4 linked regions of the Arabidopsis thaliana genome follow. The protein of the gene in region 3 binds, or shares a complex with, the protein of the main gene of each other region. Each region holds a gene or a part of one and is shown on either strand. Other genes may lie near its edges.

What was found.
Region 1: ATU2AF65A (region 3) and SMU2 share a complex: the UniProt entries of both Arabidopsis thaliana proteins name them as parts of the spliceosome.
Region 2: ATU2AF65A (region 3) and RS40 share a complex: the UniProt entries of both Arabidopsis thaliana proteins name them as parts of the spliceosome.
Region 4: ATU2AF65A (region 3) and SR34a share a complex: the UniProt entries of both Arabidopsis thaliana proteins name them as parts of the spliceosome.

Annotation. Positions count from the first base shown.
Region 1 is NC_003071.7:11,254,415-11,260,819, forward strand, and holds SMU2 (RED family protein), read right to left. Parts: upstream 4,657-6,405; 5' UTR 4,500-4,656; coding exon 4,453-4,499; intron 4,362-4,452; coding exon 4,221-4,361; intron 4,126-4,220; coding exon 4,076-4,125; intron 3,999-4,075; coding exon 3,884-3,998; intron 3,809-3,883; coding exon 3,760-3,808; intron 3,659-3,759; coding exon 3,569-3,658; intron 3,020-3,568; coding exon 2,951-3,019; intron 2,544-2,950; coding exon 2,420-2,543; intron 1,939-2,419; coding exon 1,532-1,938; intron 1,389-1,531; coding exon 1,005-1,388; intron 917-1,004; coding exon 635-916; 3' UTR 518-634; downstream 1-517. Other genes in the region: AT2G26470 (embryonic stem cell-specific 5-hydroxymethylcytosine-binding protein), read right to left, coding at 4,902-5,669, 5,821-5,886, 5,967-6,076. UniProt on the Arabidopsis thaliana protein: Auxiliary spliceosomal protein involved in splicing of specific pre-mRNAs that affect multiple aspects of development.
Region 2 is NC_003075.7:13,022,689-13,027,975, reverse strand, and holds RS40 (arginine/serine-rich splicing factor 35), read right to left. Parts: upstream 3,479-5,287; 5' UTR 3,299-3,478; intron 3,212-3,298; exon of another isoform or gene 3,145-3,211; intron 3,022-3,144; exon of another isoform or gene 2,814-3,021; 5' UTR 2,809-2,813; coding exon 2,703-2,808; exon of another isoform or gene 2,127-2,702; coding exon of another isoform or gene 2,120-2,126; exon of another isoform or gene 1,964-2,119; coding exon of another isoform or gene 1,921-1,963; coding exon 1,808-1,920; intron 1,720-1,807; coding exon 1,478-1,719; intron 1,405-1,477; coding exon 847-1,404; intron 767-846; coding exon 733-766; 3' UTR 536-732; downstream 1-535. Other genes in the region: AT4G25510 (uncharacterized protein), read left to right, coding at 1-328, 473-533. UniProt on the Arabidopsis thaliana protein: Required for constitutive and alternative pre-mRNA splicing. Involved in primary miRNA processing and pri-miRNA biogenesis. Binds both intronless and intron-containing pri-miRNAs.
Region 3 is NC_003075.7:17,293,446-17,299,699, forward strand, and holds ATU2AF65A (U2 snRNP auxilliary factor, large subunit, splicing factor), read right to left. Parts: upstream 4,284-6,254; 5' UTR 4,165-4,283; coding exon 4,051-4,164; intron 3,870-4,050; coding exon 3,583-3,869; intron 3,484-3,582; coding exon 3,385-3,483; intron 3,289-3,384; coding exon 3,215-3,288; intron 2,782-3,214; coding exon 2,705-2,781; intron 2,633-2,704; coding exon 2,585-2,632; intron 2,500-2,584; coding exon 2,440-2,499; intron 2,347-2,439; coding exon 2,286-2,346; intron 2,201-2,285; coding exon 2,088-2,200; intron 1,968-2,087; coding exon 1,521-1,967; intron 1,395-1,520; coding exon 1,259-1,394; coding exon of another isoform or gene 986-1,258; coding exon 918-985; intron 832-917; coding exon 694-831; 3' UTR 502-693; downstream 1-501. Other genes in the region: AT4G36680 (Tetratricopeptide repeat (TPR)-like superfamily protein), read right to left, coding at 1-272; AT4G36700 (RmlC-like cupins superfamily protein), read right to left, coding at 4,998-5,981, 6,138-6,218. UniProt on the Arabidopsis thaliana protein: Necessary for the splicing of pre-mRNA.
Region 4 is NC_003074.8:18,329,618-18,335,687, reverse strand, and holds SR34a (SER/ARG-rich protein 34A), read right to left. Parts: upstream 4,180-6,070; 5' UTR 3,976-4,179; exon of another isoform or gene 3,047-3,975; 5' UTR 3,021-3,046; coding exon 2,934-3,020; intron 2,815-2,933; coding exon 2,749-2,814; intron 2,671-2,748; coding exon 2,596-2,670; intron 2,442-2,595; coding exon 2,300-2,441; intron 2,217-2,299; coding exon 2,170-2,216; intron 2,086-2,169; coding exon 2,028-2,085; intron 1,892-2,027; coding exon 1,842-1,891; intron 1,759-1,841; coding exon 1,702-1,758; intron 1,472-1,701; coding exon 1,320-1,471; intron 1,231-1,319; coding exon 1,150-1,230; coding exon of another isoform or gene 1,071-1,149; exon of another isoform or gene 1,039-1,070; coding exon 972-1,038; intron 880-971; coding exon 859-879; 3' UTR 534-858; downstream 1-533. Other genes in the region: AT3G49420 (Got1/Sft2-like vescicle transport protein family), read right to left, coding at 4,618-4,656, 4,916-4,997, 5,080-5,177, 5,298-5,378, 5,479-5,570, 5,803-5,833. UniProt on the Arabidopsis thaliana protein: Probably involved in intron recognition and spliceosome assembly.

The sequences.
Region 1 (6,405 bases), on a different chromosome or scaffold from region 3:
GCCATTGATTCGAAAAGATTCAATCCTTGGTTTTCGTTCAACACATATCTCGCAGTCGAAAGAGCGTCTTCGTCGTTGTATTGGTCAAACAGAGGACTGTCCCTTTTCTATGGAGATTGGTGTGAAACAGAGGATTCTTACATCGTCATCTTCGTCGTTGTATTGGCCAAGATCTATGTAGTTTGTGAAACCGGATTTGAATGGAGTTTGAGAAGAGTGTATTGGCCAAGATCCTCGACGGAGATGGCGTCACGTTTGGTTGAACCACGAGCGGAGAGAGGTGTGGAGAAGATGAAACGGTCGGAGTCATTGACGGTGGCTGCATTCATGGAATCTGTGGCCATTTTTCTGATTAGGGTTTTATGATTTTTCTAGTTTTTTGCTTGTCTTGTTGGGTTGGTTACTGAAGCGTCTCATTTTTGGTGATGCTAAACCTAAAACCTAAGGCTGTCCCAACTCCCAAAACTGCTTCGTGTTTAATGGGTAATTAGGAAATAAGAATGCTATCATTTCAAAATTTGGACGTAAAATCTTTTCTAAATTAAGAATTTGAACTCAAGGTACCAAAAACCTAAACAGACTTGAAGATACAAAATAGATTACGAGAGAATGACTGGAGTAGACAAGAGACAAATCAATGCTTGGATCTCTTAGGAGTTTGTGCCTCGGCGGCATCCAAAGAAGCAACATCCCCACCCTCCTTCTCCATCTTCTTTCTCGTAAGTATCTTATTGATCTGGTGAAGTTCATTATTGAGCTTCTGGTCACGGTCACGGTTCTGCTTCCTTGTCTTTCGACCATCTTGCATCTTTACCCCGAATTGGAACGCCGCTTTTGGCATCGCTTCCTTCTGCTCATTATATTTTTCCCATTCCTCTTCTGTCTCAAAGTCCCATCGATGTAAACCACCCTTTGCCTGTTCCATGTACATTCAACAACCAGATACTGTAATTTTGCTCTTCCACAATAAATAACAAGGAACATGTAATTAAGTCAGGGCATACCTTTCCACCCATGTCCATTTTAGACAAATCAGGTTCTTCATCACTACCGACAATCTCATGGTTGTACTCTTGGTAACCTGGATAACACTCTGAATAACTCTCGGATACAAAAGTTGGATCTTTCTCCCTTGCGTCACTCTCCCTCAACTGTTGAAGCCTTTGGTCATCACGCTTGAAAACCGATCCCAAACCCCTATCTTTCTCTTCCTGCGACATGAGTTGAGGATCTAGTAAAACATCGGTTTCTGGTTGGACCTCGTAACCCTCCATTCCAGGTTGAAGGTACTGCTCCTGATACCCAGTTTGCTCTGCATATTGGTATTCCTGCCACTCTCCGGGGTACCCAGGAGCCAGTCCTTGAGTTTGCATTGCACCATATGCACTCTGGAAAAACACACAACCACCAGAAAAAACCTAAATATGGGAATAAATGACATCTAATAACTACATACCAAGACGCAAAATTTGCAGACGAGGATCAAGATTTGAGAATAAATACAACCAAGGATTAGCTAGGGTGAACTGACCATATCTTGCCATTCCTGACCAGCAGATGGCTGCACTGGACCATAAGCAGGCTCAGCGAAATAAGGTACCTTCTCCTGCACTGGACCATAAGCAGGCTCATCGAAATAAGATACTTTCTCCTTATCCCTGGGAGATTCTTCCATGTCCTCAGAAATAGGACTCTGTGTCACATCTTTACCAGGAACCGTGTAATCGACGCCTTCACCAACAAATATGTCATCATCGTCTGTCCTGGCAACAGGGGGTTCTTCTTGTTTCGTACTCAAATCCAGATGGTTTATCCCAGGTGGTAATGGCGGAGGAGGAGGTAAAACTTCCCTGTCACTTATGTTCACAGAAGATCCATTCTCAATCTTAGATTTATTGTCGTCTTCATCATAATCATTAGCAATAGTTGACATCTTTCCTGCATTTGAAAAGTTGCAGTGGATGTGATTAATAAGGCAAAATAATATAAAAAATGCATGAACGTATGATAGAATAGAAATTAGCAAATTATCTTGCTAAAGAATCAGAAACCAGCCAACTTGTATCCAATTGTATGCTGATGTGAAACAAGAACTACAACATGTACTGGCACCACATTAGCATAATAAAAATTACTAACAACAGAGTTTACAGAACCATCAAGGGACGGCAGCAACATATTTATGATACAACTAAATTTCTTCACAATTGATAAGCGAGAACACAACCAGACATCAGTAGATACTACTAGTACTGTGGTCAAAGACTAGGTACACTCTTTACATTCTTGGCTCCAAACTGTAAGACCAGATAATTAACAAATTTCGGGAAAAGCAGAGAACTTATTTAACCAGTGTAAGTGAATCAGGTCTGCTAATACTTAAACTTTACAAAAAAATGCACCAGTAGATGCAAAATACCTTTCCCATCTTTTTCTTTCTTTTTCTTCTTGAGAACTTTCCCCGACGACCCAAGGCGAAGATATGACATGATTTTAGCAATTCGATCTAGCACAGAACCATCAACATTGACTGTGACAAATTCCTGTTGGGGAGATAGGACAGAGAAACAGTGCCTGTTAAATGAAACAATTCTCGCAAAAATTGCAGCAGTGATTTCAATTATAAATTTTTATTATGTTCAGTAAACAAACATATTAAGCAACGTTAATTTTGGTTCCAGATTAGTAGAAAGAAAGTTGAATTTAGTTTAAAAAGATTTTTATAATTACTTAAAGAAAATCTATGCTTCTACCAAAACTAATGACTTATATAATCGATATTAGCTGTATTGAATACATCAACACTGTAAAAGAAAATAGGTTGCAGAGACAGGCAGAGTGGGCTTATTTTCATTAGAATCAAAACGATCATGTCACATCACTGCTTACAGTCTAAAGATTTTTCCAGGATCAAGAAGACTATTACAACAAGGACTCTAAGTATACATACCTCGGGCACCGGGCAGTCAGCTTTACTCCTATATAACGTGGTCGGTATGTCATGGGTATAGCCACCTTCCTGAAAAGCAACAAATAGAATTAAAAACAAAAGGGAATAAAATTAATATACATCAACAGGGAGGCTTTCAAAGGGCAGACTAAACCCATACTATAAGCTTAGCCTAGCAGCTTAGCTGAGACTAAGTATCTCAAAGGAAACTTCATACGTAACACTACCAAATATCAATAGTATATTCAACTGACTTTTCTTGTCGTATGGTGTCTCTATCTGCAAGAGAAAAAGAATATGCTTCTTCAAGAAGAGCAGACACGTTAATCGAACTAAAAAACCTTTACAACCAATTCTGCGTATAAGGTTTCTAACAAATAGATTAAATCGTGAATAAATCGCTAACAAGGTAATGCAAAACAGCTTAAGCTACCTTCTTAAAATTTTCCTGAGACATGTATTTAAACTAGAAGCGAAGATTTAACTAAATATTAACTAATACTCGAAGAAGAATCGTTGAAGCAGAATACACATGTATGACTACTTCCTAAGACAAACAACGACATAAGAACATGTAATAAGATTGAATCTTCCTGAAAAAGAGTTAACAAGCAATACCATATCATAGACAAATGTCATTCTACCGGGAAGAAACATCTCATTAGACTTGATGATAGTCTGAGGCTTAACAATCCACTGGTAAACTGACTGAAACAGATCAAAGACAAGAGAAACAAAAAACATCAAGCGCGTTAACTACATCCCAAAACTTGCTCCTCATCTGCAAAGTTCAGAACAAAATTGCATACCTTTGCAGCTATGGTACGGAAAGTAACTCGCTGATCTTCCTTAGGCGCACTGTTAATATAGTAAAATTAGCACTTGAATCAAAGAAGCCAAATGAGTCAATAAACCAAGTATAACCAAATCTACCTAGTCTTCCCACCATCACCATCTTCACCATCAGGTTTCTTAACGATTTCGCTTCGTACTTTATTCAACAAAGCATAATCCAAACCCTTAACTAAATGGGTATGTTCAACATCACCTAAACCATATCATAAAAACAACATAAGCACCTCAAAAAAAAAACATTTTGAATAAATTTGTAAACCTAACACAAACCTCCAAGATATTTGCTGTTCTCAATAGATATCTTAAGTGCATCAGCAGCACTACAACAAAAAAAAGTACACAGCAACAGAAATTTAGAGAAACCCAATTAGAATTTAGAAAGATAATGAAGTAATCGAGGAAAGACAAGTGCTACCGGATATCGACAGCTCCGGGAGGAGCAACGGCATGGAAAGAACTAAGCTCTGATGGATCATAATCAGGATTTTGATTCTCTCTTCTTTCTTTAGCACGATCTCTGTATTTTGGATTATCGGATTCCTCTAGTTTCTCCTCTCTGTGAAGGAAAAGTGACGAGTTTTGATGTTTTTGTGTAAAAACCCTAGCTTTTGAAGAAAAGGGGAGAGAGGAAAATGAAGATTTCTGACCTCCGACGAGCGGTTTTCTCCTTGTGATGCGATTTTGAAGGTTTCATTAGATTTCGTTAATTCGATTTCTTGTCGTGAAACAGAGAAAAATCAGATTTTGGCTGAAGTTCTTCGTTCTGATGATATCTGTGTCTGTTTCGATTTCAAAGCGTTGGTGGTTCTGGTCAGGGGAAATTAGAATTCGATGTTTAATTTAGAAACCGGATCTAATTTAAACCGATAAAATCGTTTAGCGACCGGGTTTGATTATCGAAACCTGGTTCACAAATTTTTACCATCCACCAAGGACATTAAAAACCCAATTCATTCATAATAATATTACCTTAGATCAAAGATCAAACACTACACATACAATACAAGCAACATTCCCAAAACGATGGTCTTATCTAACATTATCTACAACAAAAGTAGGCCAACATGGTCCTCATAGATGTTATGTAGACTCAAAACTATTTCTCATCGAAAAAGAAATGTAATGTAGACTGCGTCTCCTTAGATTTCTTGATGTTAGATTTCCCCATTCCATGCATCTTTCCTTGTTTCCCACTGCTTTTAACATTTTGCAACCTCTCATAGTGTTTCTGTGGCTTTTCTTGAGCTGAGAATACCTCATAGTCTCGCTTTGTCCCACTCTTTTCGCTAAACACTAAGCCACCTTCCTTCGTCGTCGGGCTAGTTAAAACTGTCTTCTGGTTTTCATTTCCTGGAATATCTTCGACAGCCTCATGCAGCTGATTCAATCTCTCATCTGCAGTAAAGAAATGATGGCTTTGAGTCTCGGGTTCTTCTTTTGAGATTCTTTGGAGATCAAGGATGTAGGACTCAGCCGGTATACTGGCACTGCTCTCACCTGTTTCTTTAGTAAGACCAGTCTTTAGGGATTTGCCTTCTTCCTTTGTACCCTCCTGAACATCATTCTTTACAGGTTCAGGAAGTGACGCAACTGCTGAGTTATCTTCAACAAATGGTTCTGCTTTCACAATCTCTTGAAACTCCAGATTTTTGGCTACATTCGACATATCTTTCTCCCCGTCTAGTTCTTCAATTTTCTTAATGCTGTCAGAAAACGTGTCCTTTTCAGCCGTAGGTTCCTTTTTCAAATCAACTATGATATTTGCATCTGTTGATTTGGTTTCTTTGTCTCCTTCATCTGTTTTGGGCTGCTTTGTTGAGAAAAACTTCGAGATCAAGCTATTTTGTGAAGTCTTTAGCGGTATCTGCAGGTGGCATAATCCTTATTTGAAATGACAATAAGCATACAGACTGTACAAATACATAGTGATCCTGACAATATGTTTAATGCGACTTGAGATCAAACTTGAGATTTGAGTTGTACACTACTAAGAAAGGGAAAGATGTTAACCGTACCTGTTGAATACACTCTGGTCCATCAAACGTTGGTTTACCAATTGCAGAGGTTACTGGATACCATACCTGAAAGTTCAAACTTCAATCTCAAGTAAATGAAAAAGGAAAGACCACTCTTATATGCGAGGAAGTAAGCAATTGCATACCAAATCCGATTTTTCATATGGTGAAAGTAATGGCTGCAGTTTCGTTGTCGAGGGATCATCTAACCATGTGTCGATTGAATCCTTATCACCAAGAATTACAGGCATTCTGTCTTACATGAAAAATAAACAAACTCACGTGTTAACACAAAAATTCAGGGCTGCTGCAAATCAACAAAACAATCATCAACAGCCGCTAATAATGTAAGCATTGTATAAGAAACGCTACTCTCAATATTAAACTACCTTAAACAGCCACTGCTTGTTCTATTCCAGTACTTAAAGAAGTTAAAGATTCTCATGCAATTACATATGTATCTTTTCTAAAAGAGCTTATCAAATCAGATGTAATACGAAAACAGAAACAACTCATACTACTATGATAAGTTTGTATCTTTATTAATGTGCGGGTTTGATTAAACCTCATTTTAAACAACGAGGA
Region 2 (5,287 bases), 4.3 Mb from region 3:
TCAGAAGACGAAAAGGCGAATTTTTCATAACACTCGAAAGCCCTATACTATCAGACGAGCATATCTCAAAGGGTAAAACTTACCAACAAAAGACTAAAACTTCAAATCCAATGGGCAACTCAAATCAAAACCCAGAAAGTTTCAACCAAGTAGACTCTCTCGACTTGCACGAATCCCAACGATCAGAAAATTGGAGAAACCCAGTAGACAAAGAGATCATTAAACTCTACAGCAGCATTTTACTTGGTAACAAATATACTAAAGCAGACGACCAATGTAGGCAGAACTATAAGTCTATTTGTAGCCAATATTTATATTTGAGTCAAAGGTTAGGGACTAGTTCGAACGTTGACAAGAGGCGTTTAGAGTAGTTTTTAGACCCAATTAAGTCAATAGAACCGTTCTTGCCTTCCATAATTTCGGCGTACCATTTAAGTTACTTAACGATGCGTTCGATTTTGTCACTCTCAAGGTGTTTCGATGCAAGATGTTTTGAGGTTCGCATCTTATTGTCACGGGAAAGCATTACATGATTGGGGTTCAAACTGAGAGGTGATAAAAAAAAACGGAAATGTAGTAACTTGACATAAGTTTTTCAATCCGACAATAAAAGTGATCCGAGTTCGAATCTATCAAAAACCAAACGACAAAAACTAATCACGACGACATAGCGTTGTTGACTACAAACAGTTACAACATCCTACTTTGATAGAGATTGTGGATCCACTCTTATCACTCGTCAGCTGGTGGCGAACGAGGAGACCGGCTGCAACAACAAGAGAAATGGTTTACGATTCATGTCATCAATAATATATAAACAAGTATCGACCTATTTCAGAATCTAACCTCTTCTGCATTGGGCTCTCTGCACCATCATACCCACCATCACTGTCTCTTCTTCCTATTGACCCAGGGCTTTCAACTTGGCCATTCTCGGGGCTAGACCTCGATCTCTCTCTCCTTTCAATGGGACTTTCAACTTCACCAACCCCATTTCTCGGACTCTCCTTCTTGAACGGGCTGTGATTAGGGCTCATCCTCTCTCTCTTGTTGTTGGGACTGCGGCTGTACTTAGTAGGGCTTGCGACTCTCTCCCTCCTGCGAGGGCTATCATTGCCTCTGCGGTCACGACCATACTCGGGACTGCCACGTCTTGATTTCTTGTAAGGACTTGGGCTACGTCTTCGACCATAGTCAGGACTGGTCCTTTCCTTTCTGTAGGCAGCAACAGGACTAGCTCCTCGGCCATAATCAGGGCTTCCTCTTTCTCTTTTGTAAGGACTAGGTGATCGCCTTCTCCTTTCAGGTGACCTATCACGGCGTCTTTCAGGACTGTGTCCATTTCCTCTAGCATCATCATCCTTCACAGCATACTCCACCGAGATCACCTTATCCATCAGCTTACTGAATGAAAACACAGATGAAACGTGAGTCTAAGAAAGGAAAGTGATTAGATACTAAAATGGACAGAACAAACCTGTTATTTGAAGCATCCAATGCTCTGGTGGCATCCTCTTGTGCCTCGTACTGGATAAATGCAAAATTCCTCCTGATCCTAACGTTTACGATCTTTCCATACGGCTCAAAGTGTTTCTCTAGATCCCGGGTCCTAGTATTATCCGCATCAAAGTTAATCACAAAGAGAGTCTTGGAAGGTCTCATGCTGGATGAGGATCTCCTTGAACCACCACCAGATCTTTTATCACCTCCACGTTCACTCTATATACACAGAACCATTTATGTTATCAGTATTTCAAACCTCATAACTAAGTCTGGAAAGAAATAAATCCTGGGGTAAGTATCCTACCTTTGTCCATTCAACACGAAGTCTGCGTCCCTTACGCCCAAATTCAAAGCGGTCAAGTGCTCGGATGGCATCTTCCGCATCCCTTTCATCTTCCATGTATACAAAAGCAAACCCTGGAGAAAAAAGAAAAAGCCAAAAGCAAAGATCTGAGTACATTAACAGTGAGGAAGTGGACCAGATTAAGAACCTTCAACATACACGAACACTGTCCTCCCTCCTTCAACGCCTAACTTAACTCCTAGAACATATTAAATTTTGAACATTCCTAGAACCTTAAAAAAACTCCAAATGACCAGTGAAGCAGTTACAGACCTTGCATTATGGAATTAATATGTCAAGGAACAACTGAAAATGTGGAAGTCAGACGGGGATATGAATGAAAATAGAGAGCCTTCTCCATTGCAGAGGCATGTCCAAGTGTGCAAAGTGATGAGGAATGAAATGCAATTAAGATGGCAGTGCTAATGCGGATGGAAAGTGACTGATTTTGAGGGATAAGAGATGGATTTCCCTATGGTCCATTCATGGCCAGGTGTGAGTATAGGCGTCCCAAGATTATCAAACACATCCTGCGTCAAAGAAAATGCGGTTTTACACTAATTTTTTTTCTAAAAATCTTATTCCTCTGAAGTACTTTCCAAAGTTCAAGCAGGCTGCATCAGGTGGCCAGGTGAATGTGGTCAATGTTTAGTACTCCTTCCAAAGGGAGATAGTCCACCAGAGCCTTCTCGTGGATGGAATGAAGACGAGAGTGGATTTCATGAAATGCATTTGAATTTCGCTTTTTCATTGTACTTAGTGGATAACAATACTGCTTATTATAATTCATTCAGGTTAACCACAAAGACAGAGTAGTAAGAGGCAGAAGAAAGAAAGAAAGAAAAAAAAGGCTCACCAGCTTTCATATCAACCCTCTCAACCTTGCCGTATTTCCTGAATAGTCGTTCCAGGTCACCTTCGCGCGCATCATACTCAAAGTTCCCACAGAAGACTGGCTTCATGCTTCCTGTATAGACAACCACAATAGTAAAAAAGATTCATGAGACTTCCTTAAATGATAATTTAAACACGAATATCACAACTAATTTGTCACCAAGATGAAAACTTTTAACACTAAAAACTAGAGCCCTCACACTAAATCGAATTGTTTTGCAGTAAATTAGGACTTGAAACTCATCTATTCGAGCTCCAAATCAGTTAAATCTAGGAACTGAACTAGACAGTATTAGAATCAAAAGTACAATGCAACAGATCTAATCTAACTACAGTTAGATCTGAATATCATTCACAAGATAGAGAAAACGAGAACAATCCACGAAAGCATGAATCTTTCATACCAGAAAAACAAAGAAGGCTCTGATGAGATTCAACTTATAAAAAACGAGATGGACCAATTCTCTTGTTCTACTTTTCACCAACCAAAAAAAAAAGAAGGAAGAAGGAGATGAGAACCACGACGATATAGAGAGTGAATAAACTGCATCAATTTACCTGTAGAATGATTTTGGCAGGCGTAGTCGCGTGGAAGCCCTAGAAGAAGAAGAAGCTCGCGTCGAGAGATAGGTGAAACTGAAAACAGAGTTAGGTACGATTTAGATAAAGAAGGCAAGAGAGATCATTTGGATTTTTATTTTATTTTCTTTTCTTTTTAGTTTCAAAGATATTTTTTTCAGAACACATTTTGACTTTCTTATTTTGTCTGAAGGACGAGAAGTCGAGAACGTCTACTTTTTAGGAGTATTGGGCCTATATGTTAAACAAATTATAAGAAGCCCAACAAGTAAACAAAATTGAAGCTGCTTTCTAAAAAAACAAAACAATAACAGATTATGAAGACAAACAAATATTAGATTTTTTAATTTTGATTAGAATATACTGATTAATAGAACTAGAACATGTATCACATAACATCTACACAATGAATAATGCATACAAGTTTTTAAAAAGTCTTGCAACTTAACACTCTCAAGATCCCACATGTCAAGTTTTGGATTCGATGAAACATATGAGTTTGTTAGTAAGTTTAATAATTGTTGTTATAAAGAAATGTGTATATTTATATATTACAATTAATTAAATAAATTGTTTTCCTCTTCATTGGATTGCTTCACTTATGTTAAGAGTTTAGTAGTTGCTTTCAAGGCCGAATGATATGTGGCCACGAACATATCATCACACGTGGAATGAGAACGAGTTTCGACTTTTCAAATATGCCATAAAGCCTCAATTATCTTCTTATCTCGCTTGAATATGCAACAAAAAGCTATTAAGATATTCATAAAATAGAGGCGTCTCAAATCTACCAACAAAAAGCTACAAAAGATCCAGTCCAATCCACTGAAGAATCCCAAAACAGAGTAGAAACCCAAACAACCCGATTCAGCAAATAATTCAAAAACGAACGTCCGTACGATTTTCCAAAAACAGAAAGATGGGTTCCACAAGATAATGCGTGGGGACGTCAAAATCCTCTAAACCCGTGGTTCGGCCGCGGAAACACTGTCCCTACCTTCCCCACCAGCCTTCACTGGCCCCATACGTCACTCTCAAGCTTTACTTTCTATTTTCCACTAAAGCCAATTTTGTTGTTTTCTTCACCTTACCACTCTTTTTTTCCCTCTTTGTTGTGTCTTCTTTTCTCCTAAATGTCAATAACGTGAGAGCGAGAGGTAACGAGAGAGATATTTTTGTCAGCGAATATATTTCATGCATATCTTATTGTGAAGATTTTTTATACCTTTTTTTTGTCAATACAATATAGCTATTATTGAGATTGAGATATTTTGTGGGAATTATTGGGATTCAAGATAACTTGCTATTTTGTATTGGTCTAATCCTTCGCTTAGTCCTGTCCTGGTCCATTTACATGTTTTTGGTTATAGTTTGTTTAAACTGAATAATTTTGTTCATCATATGCATTTATGACTCATTTTTAACCGTCCATCGAAATTGATAATTATCCATTACCAAATCTGATTAATTTTTTTAAAAAATCAAGCTTTTCTATATTGTAGTATTATTTTTGGTTAAATATTAGGACATCTACTTCCAATACAAATACTACATGAGTATTTAAAATATCATTTCACAGAGATATTTATGTCTATTATGTTATAGACGGGTGACAATTAATGACAATTTGTTTATTCATAGGAATTTAAAAACGATTGTAACAACAGCAGCCAGCCAACCACACAGGCACACACTCGATAGAATTTAAAGAACTCATAAAGGTTAACGAGTGAAGAGTCAAAAGTCTCTTTACAAGGGTCAAAGGACACACGTCAGACAGCGAGTGGAACATCGTGGGATTGCTTCGCTATGTACTATACACGTGTCATTCACAGAGACAAAAACTCCGTGTGCTCCCCACATATCCGTTATCTCTCCTCCGGCCAATATAAACACCAATTCTCACTCTCACTTTTTATACTAACTACACACTTGAAAAAGAATCTACCTGAAAAGAAAAAAAAGAGA
Region 3 (6,254 bases):
TCAATTAGGGTTTCGATGTCTGAGAAACGGCGACACTTGGCGAGGCGACGAACAGTGAGCTCTTGGGCGTAGCGAGATGAAACAGGAGAGGCTGAGTGATCGGAGACATTGGCGTAGATCTTAAGAGCTTTGTCGGGATCGTGTTCTTTCCGGAGAGTGGACTTAGCTTTGGAGACAGAGATTTTGCCTGAAGAGGGAGCGGTGGTCGTACCGTCAGCGGCGGCTGAGGCAAATCGGCGAACAAGGCGGAGAGAAATACGAGAAGAAGCCATTTTGCAGAAATGGGTATTGTGGAGAGTGGTGGCGAGAAAAGGAGACGCCTTTAGGGTTTTAGTGGCTTAACAGAGATTTTTGGGTTTTACAAGTTTGCTTCTTTTTCTTTCTTTTTTCTTCTATCAGAAGAGAACCAAACTACTTGAATATTTCAATAGAGAGAGTACTCAACTTCTTGTGTTGATTTAGAACATATGTCACATTTACGAGAGACGAATGATGTTTTACGAGGGACTCATGATGTTATTCTGTGAATAATTTTTGAGATAAATATTTAAGAAATAGACCAAAGATATGAGATAAAAACGTTATAATAAGCAACGTGTCGATAATCTCATACTCTTACAATCACGCAAAAGGGTCTTGAAACTGAAGCAAAGTACTTAACTTTTAAGTAATAGAAAGCAAACAAAGAAGTGATCAGGCTCCATAATCACCCTGTTCAAACTTGTCTTCAGGGTAATACACTGCAACGACTTCATTTCCTCCAAATTTCCTACCATTCATCCCGAATCTTGCCCTAGTCGAGCCATCTGTATCGGCATACTTCAAAAACACCTGCACATTAAATATATCAGACAGTCAGATTACGACTAAATAGAAATATACAAGAAGTAGAGAGAAAGAGAGAGAGATAAGTTTACCTTGCCAAGGCCTGCCACTGGCTCACCATTGGGGCTTGGACGCGGAATCACAACATTGGTCAAAGCACCTGCATTTTAAGAGTTAAAGAACAAAACATTTCGAATACAAGACAAGAAAACACAGACAAAAACAAGTCAGTTTTTTCTTTTAAGAAATAGTGGCCATTGGTGATAAATAGATTAGGAGGTTTATGCAGTCTCCTGTCTGTGTATGTTAGGGCTGATTCTTTATAGCAAAAGGCTGTAAAACAGCACAACCAAGAAAACAGAGAGACAGATCAATATGCTTTTAATCTTATATTTCAAAATAGACCATATTGCGCAATTAAGAGGTCTCTTACCAAACTTTCCGCCTTCCTGTCTCATGTCTTCCATTATATCTCCATACTCCTCATCATCTCTAAGCTCATCCTCAGTAACAACTTGAGTCAGACACACCACAGTGGTTGCCACTGCACCAGGCTGTAACATAACCCTCTGCAAAAGATAAAACCATCAATCAGTCTTTTAATCTTATAAATGGAAATATTCAAGTTAGGTCTCAACACGTTTTGCAAGCTCATTTTGTTTTCTTCCAATATTATTAAGAAGAAAAAAAATTACCTGAAAAGCTATTTGCTGCTGTGCATGCAATAATACGTTCTCTTGTTCAGGCTTTTGTAGCATTGTTCCCTGGTTGGCACGTCTCACTGTAAGAGTCTTATCTCCCATCTTGATACCATTTAGGGCAGCGCACGCGATATCTGTAACAGAAAGATCTTGGTACACACAAAAGGCATATCCTTTAGAGTTCCCTGTTTCTCGATCTTTTACAAGATCAAAGCCCTTGAGGCCTCCAAAGGACTCCAACAACTCCCTCACTTGTGATTCCGTGAAGTAATATGGAAGTCCACCAACAAAAATACGATCTGGTCCCTCAAGCCCACCAGAAGCACCTGGAGTCAGACCAACAGCAGCTAAGTTTAGATGGGGACTGGGCTGGCTTGGACCAAGAGTCGCAGCTAGAGATGGGTTATAGTCACTAGGTCTCCTCACCTTCACCGGAGCTCCCTGGAAAAGAAAAAAAGAAAAAGAAAGATAAGCATTCAGTTGGGTAACCTATATACCAAAGAAATGCCAGTACTAAAACTCAACCAAATATTTGGTAGTGCGGTAAACATTAAAACATACCTCAAATATAATCCCATCCAAAGACATAGCGTTACTTGCCTCTTCAACAGATCGCATCTCCACAAAAGCAAACTTCTTCTCGTGGTTTATGTAGACATTAACAACTGCATCACCTGCGAGTAAGAAAAAAGATTTATAAAAAAAGATTAATCCAAGTATCATAATAGACACTCTAGCATCTGCACCAGGATTATGTACCTGGACCAGCAGTGTTTCCACCAACAGCAGCCATAACTTGACTAAAAAATGTAGCCACAGACTGCAAATACAAAATAATAAATCAATGTTAGTATCATTATTTGCTGAAACATATTTCAGTGGGAGAAAATGAAAAAAGAAAGTGGATAATAACCTGTTCATTTGCCGTAGGGGAAAGCCCACCGACATAGACTCTGCGAGCATGTCTAGTTGCCTGAAGACACAAAGTAAATAAGGATTAAATTAGAACAGAGAAATACATAGTATCTTGCGTATATCCATGATAAATAAAATCTAACCTGCTGTGTCATAGCCTGAATTGGCATCATAGAGAGTCCCCCAAATGACTGTAGGACATAGACGACTTAGTTCAAGAAAGACATCAATTAAGAAAATATTAAAAGGGAAAGACCACAGACCTGTCCAGTCGGCAATGGAAACATGTTGGGAAACATTCCAGCCCCAGGAAGAGTTGGTGGAGCGGGAGGAACTTGGCCTACAAAAGAAAAACAGGTTAATACATAAGAAAATTACATATGAGAAAACCTAGTTTACCATCCCTGGAAATGTATTGGTGACATCAAGAGGTTTAAGTCTGCATGGAAAATTTTTGCAAGACTAACAAAACCAGTGATATGTACTGAGGATGAGCAATACCCATACGCAGTAATTCTTCCTTGTATATAAGAGCTAACCAGCCCACACCCAGTGTTGCCTTACCAAAACAGAAAAGCAAACAAGAGACACAAAGACCACCAAACAACCAAAAGCTCTCAGTTCTAGCGTTATGTCCCAAGTAAAAAAAGAAAGAAAACAGCCTATGTTTTTGTAGTTATTCAGGAGAAACAGATTTTATCAATCCCAGTACGTGTATTAGGTATGAATTCTACATTATGCTAATGAGAAGGTGCTAAATTAAAGAGATATACCTGTAACAGCAGCACCAGCAGCTAACATTGCAGAGGCTGGAGGTGCCATATCGAATCCACTGACTCGCTGCTTACTGCAACAACATATATTGAGTGAGGTTAGAAACTTTCTTAGATTGAAGCAATTACTTCATAGAAGAGTAAGTAATCCAATGAGAAAAAAATGCTACCTTTTCGATGGAGATCGTGACCTTGTTCTGCGCTCAGATCTATCCTTTGAACGAGATCGAGATCGACGACTGCGTCTTCCTCCTCTATCATCTCTCCGCCTAGAAGAATAAAAAATAAGCCAAATCAGTACCTTCCATAAAATCAAAAAGGATTCAATCTAAATTGAAAATGTATAATTCAATTCAAGAACAGTCTACCTATCATGGTCACGATCACGGCTTCGACGGTAATCATCATCATCCCTACCACCACGTTCTCTTCTTTCACCACGCTCCCTGCTATGATCCCTGTGACGACTACTTCTGTGATGACGCTCACGATGATCTCTGTCTTTGTCTCTACTCCTCTCCTTGCTTTTCTCTCCATCTCTATCCCTGCTTCGGCGAGAGACTTCAGAGTCTCTTTCTCTGTCCTTATCACGACCCTTCTCTCTTTCTCTATCTTTACTTCTTGATGTCTCTCTTTCATGGTCACGCGATTCTCTCTGCACATGTAAACACACCCAAAACCTCATCAATTACAGTTTAAGAATCAATGAAACAGAAGCAGCTTTAAAACTAATCATCTCATAATTCGATTCTCAATTCAATCCAATTGCTAGGAAATATAGATTCGAAACTCCAACTATAAGCTAGGAGATTGAAGATAATCAGGGGGGAAATTACCTTGGGTTTCGAGTCCAATTGATCCTCGATTTCGCCGTCGCGGCCACCATTCTCTTCGTCGTAAATCGCGTCAGCAACCGTACCGTTTCCCTCGTGATCTTCGAATTCAGACATCTTTTCGCCGGAATCAACGCTCTCTATCTCTTTCTCACCGGAGATAAATTTAGAATCTGTTTCAGCCGTCGAGATTCGAAGAAAGGGGTGGATGCAGAAACCAAACTATTTTAGGGCAATTACGGATTATTCTATTTTTTTATAGCCAACACGGGACCTCCTGTGAGGGTATTTTTGTAAATGTCATATAAAAACAGGCCGGTCCAAATCTGATAAGGCCCATTATTCAGCGCATCCGGTCCAATAGTTGGCCCAATTCGTGTTTGGGATAAATCTACTTTTTGAGAGTTTTATGAATTTGCCTTTTCAAGATATGGCCCAATCTGTGTTTGAGATAAATTTGCCTTTTATTCCAATATCTCTTGCAACAACAAGAGAACAGAGCATGGGAAGTTGATTGCATTATCTACGACTCCTCCGTTATCACCATTCAAAACTTTAATATGCCGAAGCTATAGCAAGAGGGTTACAAATACATTATACAATTGTAAACCAAATGACATAAGTTAGCAAGTACGACTACTACTACAAGTGTATAATAAACCACAGAGTTATCAATAACAAGAAGTAACGTCGTCACTCAACAGTCTCTCGGAAATATTTACTTATTTCTCATTTACCATCTACAAAGATTTAAACAAAACAAAACATTATACAAACACAATACAACTTTAAACATGGCAACAACAAAAACAATGCAAAAGTACATTAACAAATAAACAAGACTATGGAAAAAAAAAGTTACAAGAGAGGTCAGAACCAAAGTTCTAACCACTAACAACAAACCAAACACACTCTTGACGTACGTTGGCCTTCTCTTTTACTCCTCCGGCTTAACTCTCCTCTTCACCTTCCATTTCCCATTCTTTCTCCATCGGTAGTTGCCGTTCCCTAAGTTCTTCTTCTTGTGGTGGTTGTTGAGGTGGCCACCGCTTCTTCTCTTCTTCTTCTTCACGTTTCCTCCTCTCTTCCTCTTCTCTCTTCGCCTCTTCTTCTTCTTTCTTCCTTTCATCATGTCTCCTCTTCCTCTCATCATCTATTTTCTTCCTCTCTATCTCCACCTTAAGCTTCTCTATCTCTCCTTCCGCACAAGAATGACATTCCAAGATAACAGCTTCCTTCTGAGCTCCCAACAATCCATCAATCGTCACACTACTCACATTAAGCGATGCAGCCAATACTTGCCGGTCAAGCATCCGCAAAGCCGAGTCCTCCCCGGCTAAGAACTGCGGCTCGTTATTCTTAGCTGAAGTAGTAAACCCAACGAACACTAACGAGTCATTGTTGAAAGACATTTGAGCCATTGGATGTAACCGTGGAACTGCGAAAATATCTCCTTCCTCTACTTTAAACCTCACGTTCTTACACTCTGATGATGTGTTTGATGATATCGAAGACCTAAGAACCCTAACCATTCCTGCTCCTTTCAATACAATCGAAATCTCGCAAGCCCATGGATTCCAGTGCGGTCCCATCATCGATCCTTGAGTGAGATTCACCATGGAAACTCCAACCATTGAGCCTTTTAAAACTTTCAGATCCTTCCTGTTAATCGTTATAGTACGACCGTAGGGGCTCTCGAAATCCGGTTCAGATTCGAAAACATTGAATGTCTTCGCTTTCTTCACCTTCTCCTTCTTCTCTTTCTTCTCTTTCTTCTTCTTGTTATCCACCAAGTCTGCACTTCCAGCAAAGAGCTTTAGTAATCGCGGTTGGAGCTGCCAAGTGTTGGCCACACCTGGTGTGCAAAGCGTCTCACTCACGATCAATGGTGGCTTCGTACGGTTCCTCATCAGCTCTATAATCCCCTCAGGAACCTAATTAAAACCATTGAATTTAATATATCACTTAATACAACCCAAAATATCCTCTACTAGAGTAAGTTGGGAAGTAAGATATACACAATTCCTATCTTGCTTCCCAAGTAAGATATAGACAATTCGTAACTTATTCATCGGCAGATTAAGACATACCCCAAAAGCTGACTGGAGAATTGTCTCATCAAAACCAAACATTAGATCTGTGATACTCGAATAGGCACCAAAGCAAGGATCCTGCATCCATGGAATACAGATACAATAAGAAGAAGA
Region 4 (6,070 bases), on a different chromosome or scaffold from region 3:
AGGGTCCTATTTTTTAGTCAGATTTCTTTAAGCAATTATAGCCCTATTTTTCAAAAATTATACAAAAGGCCCAAATCTATACATATAGTATAAGAGATAAACTTTTTTTTTAAATGGGTACATGATCCCACTTTTCTCTTAGCCGGTCCGGGCTACATAAGAATTTATAACATCTTGTTTCGTTTCTAAGTTGGGGACCTTATATATATGGCCACTATTTATCCAAAAATACGTATTAAGATAGATATATTTTCTCTTCTGATATTTCTTGTAAAGATACATATTAGCTAAAAGTTTGTACAAAAATGTTTTAACATTATACCTAAGATGTTGAAGTTGTATCCCTACTTATGCAAGGAAATGCGCACTTCATCCTAATTCTCAACTTTTGTTTGTGATGGAATACTAAAAGATGCCGACAAACAGATCATGTCAAATATATAAATTTTGTCGACTTTGTGGAAGAACCTTGTTAGGTAAACAACTCATTTGACCGTCTATAAACCATGTCAAATATCTTAACTTTAATTTGATTTCTTTAATATTATGCCCATTTCATACAAATCAGTTAAATATTTGATAATTTAGATGAGAGATCCAGGTTCGCTAAGACTTCATAGGGTTTAAACAAGAACAGGACTAACAATACAAAACTCAGAGGTATTGTGATGGTCACGGAAACATCCATAACATAACAGGTCATAATAGTATAAAGATGATCATTTGTGAGTAAAGAAGCAGAGAACAGCAGAAAATGTCAATTATCCGAAAACAGCAAAAAAAAAAACACAGAGAATGGATCTTGACTTGAGAATTTTTCGCACTCTTTCTTTTGGCCATTTTCACCGCTTAACAAAATCACACACTGCCTTCGCGAACCTGAGAAAAAGATTTTTTTAGATTGGTCTGTTTGGTGTTTTGCCTATAACTTGGTAAAATGATGCTAAAACGCAGGCAGCTTAGTTCTATACCTTGGGAGGAGATTTGGACGGAGACCTCGATCTGGACCTGGACCTGGACTTTGATCTCGACATTGCCCTGAATTGGTAAAAAGCAACATGTCACAATAATCACAGGAGAAATAAAAGAACGAATAAAAGTATCATGATGGTTGAGAGAAAGAACACAAAAGAAGGGCAGAAGACTTGCCTGGGGGGACTCTTCTTCTTGTCGGGCGATGGCGATCTAGATTTTGAAATCGATCTGGAAAGGGATCGCCTTGGTGATTTACTGCAATAAAGATTGGTAAACACACAACTCCATTTTTAGGTATTGAAAATGGGAGATATACAAAGGTTCAGTGATAACAAACGTAGTACCTCAGATCCTTCCTTGGGCTCTTGCTCCTGCTAAGGCTGCGACTGCGGCTATGGCTGCGACCACGGCCTCGGCTACGACTTCGACTTCTGCTTCTGCTTCTGCTTCTGCTTGGGCTTCTGCTTCTTGATCGGGAGCTTTCATATTTCTTAACCTGCATATGAGCAGAAAACACAGACATAAGATGAATACAAACTTGTGAGATCATGATTTTAAATTAGCCTAACCAATTGAGACTACAAAAGTCATAGATGTTTTACGAATGGGAAGATAGAGAATGAAGCATCAAACGAAGTAAAATGTTGAGAGACTTGAGAGATAACTAATATCTGTTAATTATGGTCAAAGAGGGAAAAAAGAAGAGACTGCATAGAGAAATGGTACCCGGATAAAACCTCTAGCCCAGGGGTTTCTGAACTCTGTGTCATCAAGTTTCCTTATCTGAAATCACAACTATTGAACATCAGTAATTATACAAACCATAGCATGCAATACAGTAAGAGAGACGCACAGAGTTCACTTACTGCATACTTCATGTCATCATAATTGGTGTAGTCGACAACACCATAAGTTCCTGATCATATTATTATAAATAGTCATGTTGTGGGAGAAAAACGTAAGTATAATATCCCAAACAAAACTCTGCTCAAAGCTGAAAAAGTAAATATATTGCTAAGTAAGTATGCATCAGAAACTGTAAATTAACGTACCATCACTGTCTCGAGTCACCTCAGCAAAGCACACATCACCAGCTTTCCGCATATGATCCTGAAAAAAATGGATTTTATATGAAAAACAAGACTAGGGAGTAGAAACCAAAATGTTGCAGCAAAACATTAAGTGTCATCAGACCTTCAAATCTTGCCATGAAGCAGATGATGGGAGCCCACGTACAATAACTGCAAAATAGCCATCCAAGAATCAGAAGAAGTGAAGTGAAACCAAATTTTAATAATACCAACTTCTAGCAAGAAACACAAACCTCGGAATTCAGAGTGTCGTGAGACGCCAAACCGAGCTGATCCACCACCACCACCTCCACCACCATAGCCGCTGCCACCACCACCGTAGCCACCACGACGATCACTTGAAGACTGTCCTCGACCACCATGTGCAAGCTCAACCTGCATTCATAATGATTAGAAACTATTGAAAAATAAAAAGAAACATCACAAGGTAATGTAAAACAGCCAGAAAAGTTTAGACTCTGCTGTAAGGATATGTGAAGCATAAGCCCATATTGTCTGCTGAAAAAATAGCAAGGAAGTAACTGATTACCCTCAAGCGACAGCCATCCAAATTATAGCCATCACGGCCCTTGATGGCATCTTCAGCATCCCGAGAATGCTCAAACTACAAACATTCAACAGAGCTTGGTTCAGCGAAATTTAAAGTTGGTTAGGAACATGTAATGTAAGCGAATACACTTACCTCAACAAAGCAATAACATGGAGGCCGAGGTGGAACCTTCAATTCAATATCGACAATGCGGCCATACTGCAAACAAGAGCATTAAATATGAATACAAAAGATGCTCAAGAATCTTCACTGTCTTATAGGGATAACGATTCAAGAGAGGACCCGTAACTGAATCAAACAAATAACCAAAAACTGACCTTGTAAAAGATATCTTCAATCTCATGTTCCCTAATGTCACCGGGCAAGTTACCAACATAGATTGACCGAGAAAATCGCCCACTCATTGTTTGCAAAGGTTAAAAAGGGGAAACTGCACATGAGAATAAAAAGGAAACGAAATAAATAAAGGATCAAAATTTACTGCTATAGACAAAGAACCTCCACTCAAACAGCTTTCGACATAGCCCCAGCATCAAAATGAGACGATGATAAGAAAAGAAAAAGAAAACATGGTAAGACCAAAATATATATGAAGCAAACCAAGTGAGAGCAATCCTGGGTCAGAGCAGTGCTCCACAAGCTCCAAATGCTTATTTGCTCCAATATGCTCCAAAAGCTATTTAAAATATTGAAATATATATATTTCTCCAGATCGTTCCCATGAATCTCCATTAATAATAAAAACAATATCCACATTGATCTCCCCAATCCCTCTCTATATCCCTATGAACCATTGCAATGCTCATGTTCCAAGCTCTTGCCATCTATCATAAAGAAAGCATGTGTCATGACATCATGTAACATAGACTCATGCATCTACCTTGTTCTTCTTCCTTACTCAAACCATTATTCCTTTCAAACATACAACAAAAATTCTACTTTTAACGACTATTTAAAATACAGATCGACCCACAAATCATCGTTACATAGAACCTCTTGGTAAATTATGTTTCTTTTCAATGCAAGTAAAAAAATTTCCTCAGTAAGGACAATGAATAAAAGACAGATTCTAACAAACATAAGACCTTCTGAATTTAATCAAAAATCACCTTAAACAACTCAAGAACATTCGACATAAAAAAGCTAATTGAAGTCAAGGAAACTACCCCCACGACCATAGCGAAGTATATTCACCTCAAGAGAGCCAAAAGACCAACAATTATCAGTGAAATTAACGAAATTGAAACACCAAACCATCGAATTCATAAGAACACGGAAACCAAATTCAGAGAAAACAACAGATAGATAGAGATAGAGAGAGGGAGAGCGATAGAGAGAGAGAGGTGAATGAATCCGTACCGGGGGAAACGCTACAGCGCCGGAGAAGATTTGGTCTGAAGCCAACAATACTCGGAGGAGAGCTTAGTAGATGAGAGAGAGAGGTCGGCCGTGAAAATTCAAACTAGGGTTTCTACTTTATCCATTAGTAGGGGTCGTCCTTAAAACTTTCCTGAAATACCGGAATTACCCTTTAGTTGATTCACTCAGTTCTTTTGTGTTTTTATTTTTCGGTCCCTCTTTAAGTAATCTGTTTGTCAAATAACCTCTAAGTTTTTGTTTTTGGTCAAATAGAACCATTAAGTTAATAACAATATGATTAAAATTATGTAATGCGTAATGGTTACAAAAAGTTTTTGTGAATAGAAACAATTGTTTCTCTTTAATTAGTTTCCAAAATTGAGGTGTAACCTATAACTAACCCAAAAATAAAACATTACATTTTTAACATTCTGTTGCAATTTGCAACCTGGACGAAGATTCATCTACTTCACCTGAAACATAGACACACAGCTTCAAATTGTACGTTCTTTTCCTTCCTATTTTCTTTCTCCTATGGTTTTAGTTTTCTACAGGATCACGAAACTTCTTCTTCCAAAAACTTTAATCGCCTGTTCAGCTGCATCTAGCTCAGTGAATCGTCTCTCTGCTCGGGATGGAAGACTAGACCGGCACTCGCTTGCCCCGGTACTTGTCAAAGAACTACACATCACATAAAAAAAAAGTGTAAAGTAATCGCATTAGCCAACAATTGGCAGACTATGCAACAGAATTACTATTAAAGTTAAGCCAAACTGAGAAAAGGCCTAGCAACTCAAGATCATCAGAAACAAAGAGAGAATTATCAACTGTAATTTGGAAAGGCAAAACTGGGAGTCATTATGAGTTTTGTATGTGTTGTATTCGAGATCTAAGAATTTCATGCAAAGTTTGCTATAGTTGTTTGCAATTGGACACATACCGATCTAATATATGGTTGCTGAATAATCCAACCCAGAACGGGTATCTTCTGAGCAAAGACTGCCAAGGTAGGCCAGAAGCCACTGCAAAAGCAAAACGTTTTTAGTATCAGTTTACATTTCCTCAAGCAATACCAGTAAAGAAGAAGAAAATAGGCAAAAGTACCTGAAGAGTACGAAAAAGCCATAGGTCTCCAACATCATTCCCAAGATAGGCCACCCGATGATAACAAAGAAGAAACCGACGCCAAAAGAGATGGTTCCCTGAGTGGATAACATATAAAGCCAAATGAACACACATAGATGACATTAAGTAGAAATCTGTAAAAATCCAGCAGAGACTGGCCCAAGCTATTGATAATGTAGACAAAGACAGAAACAAACCTTATAATTTTGACGCTTCATGAAGAACTGCATGGTAGACTTGAAGCCAATGGTTAGACTAACCCCCGAGATGAAAAGAATCTGAGAAAATATGAAAAGAAACAAGCTCTCATACTAGTTCTGTACGTGTATGCAATAATAGTGGTCAAAGTATAGAAACAAAGATACATGAGATACTTACATTTCCCATGGCAAGTAATCCCTTATCAAAGACGAAGACTATTCCCAAAAACGAGAAGAATACGCCAAATCCTGTCAGGCCTAACCCGATTTCTGTTTCAAATCACATAAGAAACGTTTAAGTATATCCAAGTACAGCATGAGTAACTTCGTAACCTGGTAATAAGATATACTGAAACTAAATGGGGTTCCGAACAACAACATGACATTGAATGATCTACTAACTCAAGAACGTGATAAGCAAAAGAAGAATTAAGTATAACTAAGTAACAGGTATGTCTTCCAATAGCAGAAAATATTTATAGAACTCACAATGTGAACTTACTTTTCCGGTCATTCATTTCAAAGGACATCATTGTTCCTGTAATCAGCTACTTCTACCTTTTGCTGCCATGGTAAAAACATGTCGAAGTTCAGCAATTAGACCATTGAAAGTTGAAACTACAACATTAGTGTTTACAAAATGTGCCCATGGCTTAGCCATGACTCTGATATACATACATAGCCCATAGAGATTCAATATTCTCGTATCAGTTTTGGTAACCAATCAATATTTGGAAACATAATATCGATTTGACGTCGACTAGACAGAT